Linked DNA regions of Saccharomyces cerevisiae S288C. The protein of the gene in region 1 interacts with the protein of each later gene in a biochemical or structural test. Each region holds a gene or a part of one and is shown in the gene's direction. Other genes may lie near its edges.

Region 1 (5,046 bases):
AATGTGAAGTGACACATACTTTAGCGGAGAGGACTGTCCTAGCAAGAGTTGACTGCCCCTTTATTGTTCCGTTGAAGTTCTCATTCCAATCTCCGGAGAAGTTGTACCTAGTATTAGCTTTCATTAATGGCGGTGAACTGTTCTACCATTTACAACACGAGGGACGATTCAGTCTAGCACGCTCCCGTTTTTATATTGCAGAACTATTATGTGCTCTCGATTCATTACACAAACTTGACGTCATTTATCGTGACCTAAAGCCTGAAAACATTCTATTGGATTACCAAGGACATATTGCACTGTGTGATTTTGGGCTTTGCAAGCTGAACATGAAGGATAATGACAAAACAGACACTTTCTGTGGTACTCCCGAATATTTGGCACCAGAAATCTTGTTGGGGCAGGGCTATACTAAAACAGTTGACTGGTGGACATTAGGTATCTTACTGTATGAGATGATGACAGGGCTGCCACCATACTATGATGAGAACGTTCCTGTTATGTACAAGAAAATTCTGCAGCAACCGCTACTATTTCCTGATGGATTTGACCCTGCGGCAAAAGACCTATTAATTGGCCTCTTAAGCAGAGACCCAAGCAGAAGACTCGGCGTTAACGGTACAGATGAAATTCGTAACCATCCTTTCTTTAAAGACATCTCATGGAAAAAGCTACTTTTGAAGGGCTATATTCCGCCTTACAAGCCAATTGTAAAGAGTGAAATAGATACTGCAAATTTTGATCAAGAGTTCACTAAGGAAAAACCGATCGATAGTGTAGTGGACGAGTACTTAAGTGCAAGTATTCAAAAGCAGTTTGGTGGGTGGACGTACATTGGTGACGAACAGTTGGGTGATTCTCCTTCGCAGGGGAGAAGCATTAGTTAGAAGCAAGCCGAAGCAAGCCGAGCCGAGCCGGACGGAATTTATAGCTATAGCCGCAAGAGGTTGCAATTTTCAAAAATGGATAGTTCAAGTAGATTGCGATACGCACTCCGTTACTATTGTGGTTAACGGGGACAAGAAGAACTACAGAAAATAGAATGGTCCGCAGAGGCTGCGCTCTTCTTTTAGCAACTCTCACACGACTTATGTTGCTTATTCATTTCTTTTACAGCATTATCAGAATTCTTCCATCTACGGAATTGAGATCAAAGACCGACCTGTTGTCGGCCGAAGGACGGACGCTTATACCCGCGGATGTCAAAGCGAAGCCCGCGGGGCGCAAGTCGAGGTTACCGGAATTCGCCAAACGGCAAAGGACCCTTGCATTGCCTGAAAGGAAAGATTCGCTTTTCTGTTTGTTGCCACTTTTCTTACATAGTCTGGGCCGGGAGCAGCTTATTTCTTCCGCGGATGATCCTGGATTTCCTTGCGCGGGCTCAGCCATGGGGAGCCTTACCTAGTCCCGTAAAGGGAAAAAGCTAACCTCATTCGCCTCACAGGGTGAAAGCGTGAACAAAAAAAAAAGAAAAGCTTAATGATTAAAATTTACAGTATATATATATTTGTATTTACGTATTAAACTATATATAAATAGATATGTATGCCGAAAAAGTAAAGTCTGGGTGATGCCTAGTCCAATCTTTCTTACTACTGTCCAGTTTCTATCGTAGCAGTTAATTATACATAGAACTGTGTAAATTCAACGCATTAATTTTTTTTTTTTTCACTTTCGCAGTTAGGGGGGACACATTTTTTTTGCCCTTTCTTAAGCTTCGTAAGCGAGTTACATCATTATTTCTTCCTGGGATACAATACGCGTTCGTACAAGTCACAGCTGGACCGTATAGGGAACAAGACTGCAACTCTCTCCAACTTGTTAAACAGAGGAGGAAAAGAAAGAGGGAAAAGAGGAACAAAGACAATCAAAGAAAAAGAATAGAAAGCAGTTGCTGAGCTCTTGGCATATTGTATACGGTAGTGGCGTATAATATAGTACGAGAATTAGAAATATGACGAATATGGCGGAGGATAAAACAAGTATAAGCAAGGTACATTCTGAATTCAGCAATTCCTCGAATACCACTGGATCTGAAGAGGAGAGTCGGTCGCATCAAGAGAGCTTCGACGGCGAGTCCAGTTCCGGTGAAAGTAAAAGTAAAAGCAAACTAAATCTTGAATATTCTGCAGATATCGAGCCATTGAAGTTCAGAATGACAAAAACTAATAATACAAATGACAAATTAAAATATAGTAACAACGGCAACGCCACTGATTCATTTATGAGACTAAAGGAACATTTACAGAGAGGCAATACTTTAAATTCGAATCTTAGGGTCAATGAGTTTTACCCTTTCAATTCCATTGATACAGAGCAATTTGAAAACTATTTGAGAGAGCCAAAATACATTAAAATGTTGAAACGTCGGAAAAACCTGAAACAATTTAGAAGATTGTTTCTCGCGCAAGAACTAATGGCCTACGAAGGTGAAACGGTTACCTCCACTTCCAAATCATCTGAACCAACCTCTAAAGCTATATGGAGTACAAAGTTTAGCCGCGATGGAAAATTTATGGCCACTGGTAGCAAAGATGGTAAAATAAGAATATGGAAAGTTATTGGCTCTCCAGTTGAAAGAGCCGAATTGGACTCGAGTGCGGAATCAAATAAAGAGGCACGAGCCAAGTCGATGCGGATCAAACAGCAGGTCAGTTCATTGAACAATCCAAAAGAAAAACAATTTTTGGATTCTGCTACAGAGAAATACGAAGAGAAGGAAAAATTATTGAATTTGTATGCGCCTGTCTTTCACCCAACGCCTTTGCGACTGTATAAAGAACACGTGCAAGATGTTCTGGATATAAATTGGTCTAAAAATAATTTTATTTTGTCAGCATCGATGGATAAGACAGTAAAACTATGGCATCCCGATAGGAAAAATTCACTTAAGACATTCATACATCCTGATTTTGTCACTTGTGTGGAATTTCACCCCACCGACGATAGATTTTTCATTAGCGGCTGTCTGGATCACAAATGCAGGTTATGGTCTATACTGGATGATGAAGTTAGCTTTGAGTACGATTGTCAAGACTTAATAACATCTGTTACATTATCCCCTGAGGAGGGAAAATACACTATAATAGGAACATTTAATGGATACGTTCATATTCTGATGACCAGAGGTCTCACTCCAGTTTCTTCATTTCACGTAGCTGATAGACAAACACAAGAACAAAACGCTCACGTCATGGTCACGGAAACTGACTCAAAAATTCGTCATGGTCCACGTGTGACGGGTTTGCAAGCTTTTAGATCTCAACTGGACAATTCTTTCCGCTTAGTAGTTACATCGAATGATTCGAGGATAAGAATTTTTGACTTAGAACAGAGGAAGCTTCTAGAGGTATTGAAAGGCTTCCATAGCGGATCTTCCCAACACAAGGCACAATTGTCCATCTGGCATGGTCAGCCAATCGTTGTAAATAGTAGTGATGACCATTGGGTTTACGGCTGGAGGTTAAAGTCTTCGGATAGAGAGAATGATCAAGACGAACCTAAAAGGAAACCAAAGGGATTGGCTCGGTCCGGAAGTTTGAGAAGCATATTTAGTAAATCAATGAGTAGGTCTTCCAGCCAGAATAACGAAGAAAAACCACATCATCATTTAAAACTTACTAACTTACTTCCCTTGCCTCATCATAGCAACGATCATTATATCAAAAATACGGATTACATTTCTTTTCATGCACACAATGCCCCTGTTACTTGTGTTAGCATTGCACCGCCAGAAACTTCGAAAACATTATCTTTGTCTAACGATGTTATCTGCGAGCTATCTCTAGAGTTTTTTCAGACATCCGATAGTTTCGATGTTTTGAGTCGGAGTAACGACGATGGCATAATGTCAGATGTAGAGTCGTCTTTGGGCTACAATTCTAAACCAGGCTCAATTTCTAATGCTTCCGCCACCAGTGCTATCCCAGATGTCGTTGACGCAATTGGAACGATATTGATCAGTACTGATAACGTAGGGACTATTCGTGTGTTTAGAGCAGATATGCCCTCTGTTATAAGAAAGCGCGTGTTACTCAAACTAGAAGAATACAATAGAGAGGTTCGGAGAAGGTTTAACAGTTCTGATTCTTTGCATTCTTTGAGTCGAAGCTTCAACTCGAGAGCGAAATCAAACTTGGCTGGCCAACCGGCAGCGGCGTATACTAATACTGGAAAAGGCTATGCAACGGGACGTGGATACTCTAATATATGTCCCAAAAGCAGTACATCACTAAAAACACTCGGCAGTAATGCACAGCCAAGAACACCAAGGGAAAGCATGTCATCTATTTTCTCCAATGCACATGGGCCTACCACTCCAACGAGCGCAATGAATTTACCTATCCGTTGCAATGTTTGTAACGGTTCAAGGTTTGAGGCTTTTTCTGGTGCTAATGACCAACAAGATAGAAACTATTATTGCGTAGACTGCGGTACAGTAGTTAATAACTTCCGCTAACGCTGATGGAGTATTTTTTTTCCGTGGATGATACCTTTAAATGCATATTAATCTTCGTACATAAAGTAAAGAAACACGATACACTTAAATAAATTTTAATCTAATAATTAATGAACGCTAACAATGAGCCTATCATTTGTTGCCGATATACTATAACGTATCTCTTCGAAAGAACAAAACGGAGTGAGTGCCTGTTAAGGGTAACTACTCCAAACTGAGTGGACCTCGGCGGCTAAAGCTATACTTTTTCTGTTATTTAAGGGACCTAAAAATACACACAGAGTAGATTAAGATTTGGTGCACTTTTCTCAATTTATCAACTTATAAAGAACAGGCTGCCTTTCAAACATAGGACGTTTCTGTTGACCATAATGAAAATGCCCAGTATTATTCAGATTCAGTTTGTAGCCCTAAAAAGGCTTTTGGTAGAAACCAAAGAACAGATGTGCTTCGCAGTGAAAAGTATATTTCAGAGAGTATTTGCGTGGGTTATGTCATTAAGCTTGTTTTCATGGTTTTATGTAAATCTTCAGAATATTTTGATAAAAGCATTAAGGGTAGGGCCAGTGCCTGAACATGTCTCCTTT
Region 2 (4,579 bases), on another chromosome or scaffold:
CCAGACCACTTCTAATATTCCGAAAGCAAGGGCTATGAGCAGTCCGACAATTCGGAAACCATAGCTCGCCATAATTTACACGCTCTATGCACATATTAAAATACATTTAAACAGTACTTACAGCGCATCTGGGATGGTTCGGTTATGTACCAGGACAATATTAAGTTGACGCGTCAGTTGAGTAGTAATCGTCCTAGTATTTTCGCCTACCATGCCGCTTTTTGCGTTTTTGACCGCCTCTGGTCCCTTATACAATCCACAGGCAAAAAAAAATTACATAACAAGATTACTCTTCAAGAAACCTGGAAAATATTTTTTTGGGCAGTTTTTTAAGACGATAATAAGTTCTATGCCTCATTTACGCACCAGCGGTTCTATTACCAAGCTGACTCTTATCGGCGATGAGTATGATCTAAGGCTCGGGCCGCCCATTTTGCTGCTCCCGGTCAAGTAGCACGCTCCCTCTTTTCTTATCGCAGGCTTTGCCCACTACCCGATCTCTAAAGCGCCCATTTAACCTTTTTTAAAACAACAGCTTAAAAGCTTTTTGGATAAAAAGCTTTTATTACTACATCTCTGCATCTTCTCTCCGGGGTCTAAGAAAAGGGCTCAAATTCGCGGAGTTGAGAAACGAGAAAATCCAAATAAAGCGAACAAGAGGGAAAAAAATTTTTTCTTCCGTTCTTTCCTTCTTCTATACTTCAAGAAAACAAGCAAACGCACCCACTACACACAAAGTATCTTTTACGAAACATAACACAAGAATCCAATGTCAGGGAACCCAGGAAGCTCGCTGAGCGCATTGAGACCTACTCCACCCGAGAGAGGTTCGTTCCCGCTAGACCACGACGGCGAATGCACCAAGTACATGCAAGAGTATCTCAAATGTATGCAGCTTGTGCAGAACGAAAATGCAATGAATTGTAGACTACTGGCAAAGGACTACCTGCGGTGCAGGATGGACCACCAATTGATGGACTACGATGAATGGTCACATTTAGGTCTTCCTGAGGATGCTCCAGGCAACAACGGTAAAACCATAAAAGACGCCACCGATAATAAATAGCCGCCCACATCGGAATATCGAATAAAAGCTAGACGCTGTTGGTAATATCATACTTTCTACAACAACTGGTAAAGAACTTCTTTTTTTGAAATAGCCGCCGATATGGCGCGAAGTGACCCTGCTCGAGGCTGTGCGGGCCCAGGCCCGTCCGTTTCTTTTTTTTCTAGGGGGCGGCAAACGGGCCAAAGGGGTCAGCGTGATTGGGCGGTTTTCCACAAAGCTTTAGTCTCTCTCCTCACGCCTTGGCTTAGTGAGTGGCCGGAGTTAAAGTTGCGAGGAAACACACAGCGAAGGGAAAAAGCTTTGGCGTGCTTAACGATATGGCTTATGGCCCGGTTGCAATGCTGGTTTAGTTTCCGATTACGATTTTCGATTTGAATCCTGGCTCCACATCTCCCACCCTCTTTTTTTATCTCTAGCATCGTGCGTTGGATTTTATATTATGAAGTTCCTATATTAGAATAAAGTTTAGTATTTACTTCCCAGATCTACCGGATTTACAAAGTATTGTTACCTCACCACCAAGTGAAAGGAAACAGTGCAGTAACTCCTCGTGCTTACGCTAACTAAATAGATATTATATTCACGAAATACTGCGCCAGATAGCAAGCAAACCCAAAAAAAAAAAAGAAAAAGAAAAAGGAAACAAAGTGGGAGACAGAAAAAGAGTGAAAGAAACATAGTATTTACCAAGTCGAAGATTTAGCACAACAAAGACTAATCTACACGCATACTGCTCTTCTTCATTATTGCTTTATCTTCCGCGTACCTTAGTTATGTCACAGAATATTCAAATTGGCACTAGAAAACGTTCAAGAGCAAATATGAATAATTCCACTACTACGGGCCCTGCTAACAATACAAGCTCTAACAAGACCTTTTTGGATAATTTCGAAGAAACGCGCACAAACAAGCTGCTGGACGAGATGTTTGCTCGGCAAAATTCTTTTCTAACAGACAATCTGAGGAACAGTCTAGACCTGAATCAAGCAGACAATCCGCTCCGTCCTCGGCAACACCAACACCAGTTGTTCTTGGACAATGAAAATGCCATAGAACTAGACGAGGAGCCGCGTATCATTAACACCACAATCAATAACAGTAATAATCATAACAGTAGTCGAGTGGACGAGGATGCTGACGATGACATCATTTTTATCAAAGAGCAGCCAATTCAGTTTTCGTCACCTTTGATTCTGCCTAGTAGCAGCAGTATCAATAACAACAATAATATTGTTACTTCAAATAATCCAGGGTGCGGTACCGCAGCTACAAGCAATAGTACGTATATCACGACACCAAAGAAATTCAAGAAGCAAAGAACCATCTCACTGCCTCAGTTGCCTCTATCGAAGCTGAGCTACCAATCGAACTATTTTAATGTTCCTGATCAAACCAACGCTATCGTGCCAAGAGTAACGCAAACTGAAAATGAGCTGTTGCATCTAACGGGGTCGTGTGCAAAGACTCTGGAGGGCAACAAGGCAGTGAATCTCACGATTGCTCACAGCACTTCTCCCTTTTCCAACCCACCAGCACAAATAGCTTCCCTGCCTCAATCCAACCTCAAGAAACAAATTGGTTCTTCACTACGGAAATTTACATCAAACGGCTCTTCAGAAAGCGCATCATCCAATAAATCAAATTTCAAAACGGACAAAGACGGTCACTACGTTTACCAGGAAAACGACATATTTGGCAGTGGCGGCCGCTTTGTTGTGAAGGACCTATTGGGCCAAGGCACGTTTGGTAAAGTACTTAAATGCATCGATAACAAGTATGAACCTAATTACGTGGCTGTAAAAGTGATAAGGGCTGTAGATAGATATAGAGAAGCCGCCAAAACAGAACTAAGAATTCTACAGACTATCCTGAATAATGACCCTCAAGGTCAGTTCCAGTGCCTCTTGCTAAGGGAGTGCTTCGATTACAAAAATCACATTTGTTTGGTGACAGATCTATACGGCAGGTCCATTTACGATTTTATGTGCTCCAACGGCATTGCCAGGTTCCCCGGCTCTCATATTCAGGCCATTGCCAGACAGCTAATCAGATCTGTCTGCTTCTTGCACGATTTGGGCATAATACACACGGATTTGAAACCAGAAAATATCCTGATTTGTGACGAAACCCATATTGCTCAAAAATTGCCTTTGAAAACCGTACAGTCGCTAAGCAAGAGACGCCGTGAAGCCAGTAAGGGGAAGCGCAAAATCTTGAAAAATCCAGAAATCAAAATCATTGATTTCGGTAGCGCAATTTTCCATTACGAATATCATCCTCCTGTAATATCCACTCGTCACTATAGAGCCCCGGAAATTGTCCTTGGCTTGGGCTGGTCGTTCCCCTGCGACATTTGGTCCATCGCGTGTGTCCTAGTAGAACTGGTTATTGGCGAATCTCTTTACCCCATTCATGAAAATCTAGAACATATGGCTATGATGCAACGAATCAATGGAACCCCTTTCCCCACAGACATTATTGATAAGATGTTTTACAAATCTAAACATAAATTGGGCAACTCTCCATCAGACCTAAATTCAACGGTGATAAAGCATTTCGACAGAAAAACTTTAAGCTTACAATGGCCTGAAAAAAATAAACGCGGAGATACCATAACCACCGAAAAGTCAATGAAAAGGGTCTTGCAGTCATGTGATCGCTTAGATATTTACATCTCAAAGGTCTTGAAACAGGATTACGGCGATAGCTTAAGCATCAATTGGAATCTACCGCCGGAGAAAAACTGGTCTTTGATAAATTCGAAATTGGCATGGAAAAGACAAACACATTCCTCTTCTTCCTCAACTACTGATGAACTCGATAAGGAAACTTTCTTGTTTTGGTACTGGTTCATCGATCTACTCAGGAAAATGTTTGAGTTCGACCCAACAAAAAGGATTACCGCAAAGGACGCTCTGGACCATGAATGGTTTAATCTGGGCATACTGGATGATGGTATTGCAACTTATAATAATACCCAAGGATAGTGGGTGTTCTCGTTCTACTTTTCTCTTCTTTTTTTCACATCTTTTACTAGTTCCGTTTTTTTTTTTTTTAACTCTTCTTTTTCATTTTCCGGTTTTTAATAATATTTCTTTAAATTTCTATATTCAATAAAAATTCTTCCTACATATATATCTTCATATTCAAACATTTATAGTATTTTTACTAATTTTTTGTTGTTTTAATATACTATAATAATATTATTATTACTGCTACTACTATTATTATTATTATTATAATTATTATTATTATATGTCATACATAATACATTCTATTGATTGTCTTTGTCTTCCTTTTCTTTCTCCTCTAGATACTACTAACTTTACTTCAACTTCGAATTCAAATAATTTATTTCGTCCTTCAAACTTGCCTCTTCTACAGTTTTTACCAGCTCCTTTGTACATTTGGCAACATCAAACGCAATCCCTGCCAACCGCTGTTTGAAGTTTTTGTCAGCATAATCTTGATCGCTCTTTTCCTTCGCTAGTATTCCATCGCCAGTTAATT

Evidence for each region.
Region 2: of the proteins of LAF1 (region 1) and KNS1, one has a biochemical effect on the other in vitro, tested with the Saccharomyces cerevisiae proteins (one large-scale study listed by BioGRID).

What each region holds. Positions count from the first base shown.
Region 1 is NC_001145.3:469,261-474,306, reverse strand, and holds LAF1 (Laf1p), read left to right. Parts: upstream 1-1,954; coding exon 1,955-4,459; downstream 4,460-5,046. Other genes in the region: putative protein kinase YPK2, read left to right, coding at 1-887; YMR103C (uncharacterized protein), read left to right, coding at 1,043-1,405; SRT1 (ditrans,polycis-polyprenyl diphosphate synthase), read left to right, coding at 4,831-5,046.
Region 2 is NC_001144.5:105,163-109,741, reverse strand, and holds KNS1 (serine/threonine protein kinase KNS1), read left to right. Parts: upstream 1-1,842; coding exon 1,843-4,056; downstream 4,057-4,579. Other genes in the region: COX19 (Cox19p), read left to right, coding at 770-1,066; SPA2 (Spa2p), read right to left, coding at 4,395-4,579. UniProt on the Saccharomyces cerevisiae protein: Nonessential protein kinase.